2 linked regions of the Cricetulus griseus genome follow. The protein of the gene in region 2 interacts with the protein of the main gene of each other region in a biochemical or structural test. Links are inferred from orthologs where the notes say so. Each region holds a gene or a part of one and is shown on either strand. Other genes may lie near its edges.

Region 1 (3,520 bases), on a different chromosome or scaffold from region 2:
GACAGGAGGCAAAGGTGATTTATTTAGAACATGGAATTCATATGCTCCTATTGCACAGGGGCAGTCAGCAAGTGTAAAAGTGCACTGCTTCAGTGAGGATCCTGTGACAGGTGTGCACAGTGGCCTGGTCACCTACCAGGACAGATGCTCCTTTCAACACAATTTAAAACATTTCCATGCATAGGTATCAGTTTAAATTAACATTGGGTACTCTGAGCTATAAAAAAAAAAAAAAAAAAAAGACAAGGAGTAAGGACATCCCAAAATTCAATGCTAGTATAATAAAGTAAAAATCTATGAACTTATTCTGTGACTTACTACAAATTATTCAACATCTTTCTTGCTGGCTCCTGACTGGGGTCATGCTATCTCCAGCAACTTATAGTAAAAAGGTCTGGCTGCCTTAGGGAAGCTGACTGGTCCAAAGCAACTGACCATCTTGCAGATCCTAGACAGACCCACTCCCACAGGTCCCATGTGCAGGCAATAACTGGCTTCTCCTGCAGGCTAAGTCAGCCTCACAGTCTGAAAAAGCGAGTCCAAAATTATTTGCTTATTTTTTTCTGCACCCTATGTGTAATACAATAAATATACCTATCAAAAACAAAACAAAAAGTCCTCAAAACCAGTGCCTCCTCATGAGCCAGTCTTTTGGTGCTTAATTCATAATTACAATTTCTCTTTATTTTCAATACATCAAATACTCTAATATGGTAGATTTTTACTGTGTCATCTAAGCAATCATTCATGACATACTCTATCCAGATCAATGATTCTACATTACATGATAGACTAGCAAGTCTATTGAGATGCCTATCTATCTGGAAGTTTAAAAAAATTCCCCTCCCCATTTTCCTGATATTTGCTTTATAACTCATCACTTTGCATACTGCCACCACCAGCTAGGTGTTATGCTATGTCTGTATCAAGCTTTCATGAGGAGTGAGGCCCAGCTTTCCCAAAGCTCAGAGAGCCTGGCTAGTGTATCTGGATGAGAGTCAGTGCAGAGACTTGGACACACACTGACAGACACTGACTTACCTCACTGGCATGTGTACAGTGCCCCCTTGTCAGAATCTGAAACTAACTAGATATGATACATGAAGCTAGTAATGCTAAAACTAACCTATTCATCAAAGGCTAAAATGTTCACTCTGTATTAAGATTGAATGTTGTGTTATTAGTTTGTGTTTCTTAACATAAATCTGGATAGGTGTGTCTATTTATGAATGAGAAAACAGACATTTAAAGTACTCACAGGTTATATAAGACAAACTATAATCCAGGAGGGGAAAATGCAATCCTTTGTCTTGAAGCTTCTCGTACATGACTGACCTCTACCCCAGACACTAAGATCTAAGGAGATATTCAAAGTACATGCATGGCTGACTGGCAGCACGATTCCCATCCCTTTAATATCTGTGTTAGAGGAAACTTTTCTGGCTTTATCACTGGACTCCTTACTTTGAGTCCAATGGGACTTCTCAAAAGTTGAATTCATTTTTCTAACCCAAACTAATGTTGACAACACTTAATGGCATTACTGTTAAAACCCTAATTTTTCATGATCAATGTTATTAGGGCCTCAACTAACCCTGAGAACAGTATTGTAAGTGTGTCATCCCACAGGTTGGTATCTAAGAAATGCATGAGGTAATTTTATAGTCAGTTTCTTTTTTTTCTTTTAGAATACATACATTTTATGTATTCCACATATGTAAGTTTTTAAGTTTTACAAATTCATGCCTGGGAGTGGAGACACTGCTTTGTAACTGTGTCTGTCCCTCTCCTCTATACTCACTGTGCTTGTCCACATTCTTAGACTGATGCTACAATCCCAAGCTGATTGTTTTTACCCGTTAATAGGGTCACAGAGAAGACTCAAATACCTGCACATCTTTACAGTGTGGAACGGACATGCCTGTGGGTTCACCCCCGCATCCAATGCCCTGCATGATGGGTTCAATCTCAGCACTAGTGTGCTCTGTACCTGAGGACCAAACATCCCACTAAAATGCCGTTTACAATAATACTGGAAAACCTGCATAAGTTACTTCCAGCTACAGGCATGTGATGTATTTGAAACAGCATTCAGCATACATACATCAGCGCAGATCTTACCACTGTGTGAGTTGGGGATTACCTCTGGTGGTGGTGGCCAAAGAAGCGAACATCAACTTGATTGTCTTCTTTCTGCATAACTTTGGCTGGCCAAAACCCAAAACCTTTCATTTTAGCCCAAACCAGCTCATGATTAGGTATCTGAAAATGAAATGTTCTTTCTTTTAATACTGAACTACTTAGAGAATCATGGGTTAAGTAAGACATAATCCATTTGGATAATGTTTCCTTTTAACTCTGAAACACATACATGTGTTTTGTTTTGTTTTCTCTTGTCATCAAGAAAAACAATTCATATACTTAAGAGAAAACAGAATTATGGACTATTTCCCAGATGAGGCAGGAACTGGAAAAGGTCACCTCTAAAGTCAAGGGCCCTGTGCATGATAGTAGTAAACAGAGTTCCCTGACTTTGCTTCTGTGCCCAGCATCACCTGAGTATTTGTTAGAAAGGGGAGAATTAGGCCCCACACAGAGTTTCTGATTATGAGGTCTCCTAAGTCCACCCAATGTCAATGTTACTGAGAATACTGCCCTCAAATACCCTGAGGCTTTTTGCCATTTCAGAGGAAATGATGGAGCTACAGATATAAGCAAAGTCACAGGTCTCCTCTTATAAATGAGAGGAAAAGCAAAGATTCACTCTCCTGTCTATCAAAGGACCCAGTACATGGTCTTACTAAGTACTTTGTTTGAAATTCAGAACTAAAAAACAGTTACTGTTATTTTCCCATGTTTCAGTTGTACACATTCATTAAGACCATGTGTACTATGATGTAAAGAACTAAATTTCACAGGTATTATTGTCCCTAAGTAAACAGGAAGTAACTATGACCCAAATGGTACTCTATAAATGAAAATGACAAAATTCCACATACGCAAGGATAGCAGAACCAGTTGTCGGGCCGTGCATTTGATAGATAGAAGCAGTTCTTGCAAAGCTGCAGCTCATCCAGCTGAAAAGCAAAGCAACGGTCTGAGCCAACCAATGCGGCTTCGTGGGACTGACAGGCAGCTCTCAGTCAGGCCCGCACTTAATCTAGTACACTTAAAATCTTGTAGGAGGACTGCCACTCACTGACCAGCATGTGGAAGACATGCTGGGGTGACAGTGCCCTTCCCTTGCTGTGCCACTGCCGTCCCTTGCTTGCACACTGTTCTCTTCATCACTGTAAAGACCACTTGTTTTTTTCTTTTTTTCCTTCCTGTCATCAATCTCTTTTCAGAAGACAGCTCTCCATACACTAGAATCTAGACCTATAGCACCATTTCATTCCTTCTGGCACACTGTAGACATTCAGCAAAATGGCTGTTCAACAACTAAAAGGGAAAAGTCAAATTTAAAATGAACTGAAGAAATCACACTTATTATATGAGAATTTTTACAAGAATAATACTT
Region 2 (3,520 bases):
ACTCATACTCTGGATCTCCAGGAATGTAAACTGGCCTGGGAAGGGTGGGAGCTGGCTCATGGGATACCAGCACTATTTACCTCTCTTGACCTCCTCCAAAACCATCTAAGAGGAGGAGAGAACTCTTCTGGGCAGAGAATGAATCTTAAAGCTGTTTTTAGAACCAGACAATTTCAAAACTGGGGCAAAAATACCAAGAATGTTCATTTTCACCACTATAGATGCCTTTAAATAAACCTTCTTCTCATGCTGGCCATAAGAAGCCACTATGGATTTTAAAAGAAAAAAAGCTTAAAAAAAAAAGATTAAAATGAAGATGTGGATTTTCTTTTTCATTGTCAAAAACAAATATATATATTTACATATTTTTGACAATGAAAAAGATTATATATATATATATAATCTATGAACCTAAGGCCATTTTGATACCTAGGAATCCAAAGAAACCTGACAGCATTAGGAGTGTCTACCTGGATGGTTATAGTAGTACTGTTTGTTGGGTAGCCCAGCCTGTGGCCTGTGGTGTTACCTCGGGTAGTGTGGAGACGCACTAAGGAATATCAGTTCAGAGGTGACAAGCCCTAGTGGCCATTGAAGTGAGTCAGCTCGGCCTGGCCCCATCTGAGGTCTTTCTGTCCCTCCCCAAGGCCTTTTCACATTTGCAGACAAGGTGACAGCTGGGCTTAGGGACAGACCTCAGCTTTCCTTCTCTAATCTGTGATAGGGACCCAAGACAAGTCACTCTCCCGAGTACATCCTTAAGAAAGGTGAGGCTGCAGCAAGCCTCCTCCTCCTCACAATGGTAGTCCTGACTGCCTGTGGAGCAAAAAGACAGACGGCTGTAGATACAGGTCACCTCGTGAGTGTGGCATGCAGCCAGGTCTCACATCAAACAGCGATGAATGCCTGTGATGAAATGACCCTTAAGTACCCACCCCAGCCCCACTGGGTCTTTCTAGAAATAAAATTTTTAAGGTGCTGGAAAGCATTAAAAAGGCAGGATTGGTACTGATGAGGGCTGGTGACCCTGTATCCTCCTCCCAGAAGACAAAGACAGCAGCCAAGGAAGAGCCTTGGCTCAGCCATCCTCTTGGAGGAGTACTGGGTAGAGAGGAGGTTACTGTGGCTTCTGTCCGTTAAAGTGCTTCCCTGAGGCGCCACCTGTTCGTCCATACAGTCCCTGGTGGGGTCCATGTTTTCAAGACAGCCTGATCCCTGGGAGGGTCAGGTTCCAGCTGACCTTGAAGAACCCTCTCTAACCTGCCTCCCTTTATCCCCAGGAAGCGGACCCATCCAACTGTGGCAGTTCCTTCTGGAGCTGCTCTCTGACAAATCCTGTCAATCTTTTATCAGCTGGACAGGGGATGGATGGGAGTTCAAGCTTGCTGACCCTGACGAGGTACGGACCATTTGCACCCTCAACCCCAGTTTGGGTTCTAAAGCTGGCCCCGGACACAGGGAAAGTCAACAGAACCAGCAAGAGCCCTTCCCCAACCAGGAGCTCCGGCTCTGGGGCTAGCTGAGCCGAAGGACGCCACTCGAGGGCTTGTTCATGAATGGGCCCAGTGTCCTTTGGGCAGTGCCCTCCCTCCATGGACATTGTCCGTCACAGGTTCTCTAGTTACCCTCGGCAAGTTCTAGCGGGAATTCACCTTTGTCCCAAGTTGGACAAGGCACATAGCAGCCAAGGAGCCTTCAGGGTTGGCCCTGGGTCCCTCTGCTGGAGATGGCTTTGGTAAGGCATGATGCCAGCAATATACATAACGTAATCTGTCACCCTCTCTGTGTCTGGGGGAATAAGCATGTCTCATGCATGAGCCAGGGCAGTCTTTCCAGCTGTCACATGGCTTGGAACGTATCTCAGTTGGCAGAGTGGCTGCCTAGCTCGCTCACAGCCGTAGCTTCTAGCCCCAGCACCACCAGTCAGGTGTCATGGCACCCTCCTGTCTGTAATCAGCAGGGAAGCAGAGGTTGGCGGAGGGTAATGACCAACCTAGGGTTATGAGACGCTAGCTTTTTAAAAGGGGTTGGGGGGGGGGGTGTAGGGCAGTGTTGAAATAAGCATTATAGAGGATGGCTGACAACAGATGACCCTGTCTGGGACACCCCTGGTTCCAAATGGTTGGCCCCAGGAGCTGGAGGACAGGGGGAGATGGGGACATCCCTGGCCCTTGTACAGAGAAGCATCTCCACACATTTAAAGTGACCCAGACATGTCCCCATGACTTGGGTCCTATAGGGTGAGCATCCAGGGTCAGGGGAGGCAATCAAGATTGACACAGGTGACTCTGACCTTTCTATGTCTTCCCAAAGGTGGCCCGCCGGTGGGGAAAGAGGAAAAATAAACCAAAGATGAACTACGAGAAGCTGAGCCGGGGTCTACGATACTACTATGACAAAAACATCATCCACAAGACGTCAGGCAAGCGCTACGTGTACCGATTTGTGTGTGACCTGCAGAACTTGCTAGGGTTCACTCCTGAGGAACTGCATGCCATCCTGGGCGTCCAGCCTGACACAGAAGACTGAGGTCCTTGGGACGACCTTGAGCTGGCCCCGGGCCCGGGGACTGAGTGGGAAGCCTGTCCTGACCCACTGCTCCAAAGACCCTTGGGAGGGCAGGATGGAACCCCTCTGGGAGCTGCCAAGCAGCAATGGCCTCCTTTCATTCCATGCCTCTTCCACAAGGCCAGTTCCCCAGTGGTGGAAGGTGGCATGGCCTCTCTGTCCTGACACAAGACCTGGAAGGGAAGGGGCTCTGGGAAGCCACCCCAGCACCGAGCAGGCTGTGTGCTGATCACAGTCATTGAGGCTATTTGAGATGCGCCAGGGAGCTAGCGTGTGGTGGATGCACAAACCCTGAAAAACATTGTTTTTCCTTTGGCCTTTTGCCACCAGGAGTAGCAAATGCAAAAGCCACCTCTTGAGAGCCAGCTAGGCAGGTGGAGAGCAGCGACTGCTCCATTTCGGAAGTCATTTTGTACATATTATTGTATCTTATAACGTCAAAATCCGCCAACCGTTCTATTTAACAGAAATTGTATATTGTATTTAAAAGTAATTATAACTGTGTTTGAATCAAGAATGCAGATACCTGGTAGATTTTCTTTTCTTTTTTTTTTTCACTAGCACCTAGGAATGTCATTTTACACAGATTTAATCTCTCAGGAGCTAACTGAGAGAAATCGTAATATACTGTTTTCATTTGATTTTCCAACAGGAATGGGGTCTGAGGGATGACCCCTGGTTTTTACTTTTGTTTTTGTTGTTGTTGTTATTTTAGTTCTGACTTGCTCATTATCTGGCCAGGACTTTGTATATTGAGGTTTGTTTTTTTTTTTTATATAAGAAATTTAATGTTATTATTTGAGGGTGCCTCGGGCCTCTCCACTTCCTCCTGGACTGTAAAGTAAAAGCTATAAAGCAGTATTTTTCTTGACAAATGGCACATGTTTTCCACTTCTCTGCATGCCTTAAGTCGGTTTCTACACAAATGTATTTTATTTTTTGGCGTAACTGT

Evidence for each region. The genes of interacting proteins can lie anywhere in the genome.
Region 1: the proteins of Ets2 (region 2) and Zmynd11 form a complex in vitro, tested with the Homo sapiens proteins (2 studies listed by BioGRID). The link is inferred for Cricetulus griseus from reciprocal best matches to the Homo sapiens genes ETS2 and ZMYND11.

What each region holds. Positions count from the first base shown.
Region 1 is NC_048596.1:233,952,660-233,956,179, forward strand, and holds part of Zmynd11 (zinc finger MYND domain-containing protein 11), read right to left. Parts: intron 3,078-3,520; coding exon 3,000-3,077; intron 2,263-2,999; coding exon 2,144-2,262; intron 1-2,143. UniProt on the Homo sapiens protein: Chromatin reader that specifically recognizes and binds histone H3.3 trimethylated at 'Lys-36' (H3.3K36me3) and regulates RNA polymerase II elongation. Does not bind other histone H3 subtypes (H3.1 or H3.2).
Region 2 is NC_048597.1:2,209,685-2,213,204, reverse strand, and holds part of Ets2 (protein C-ets-2), read left to right. Parts: intron 1-1,280; coding exon 1,281-1,399; intron 1,400-2,313; coding exon 2,314-2,529; 3' UTR 2,530-3,520. UniProt on the Homo sapiens protein: Transcription factor activating transcription. Binds specifically the DNA GGAA/T core motif (Ets-binding site or EBS) in gene promoters and stimulates transcription.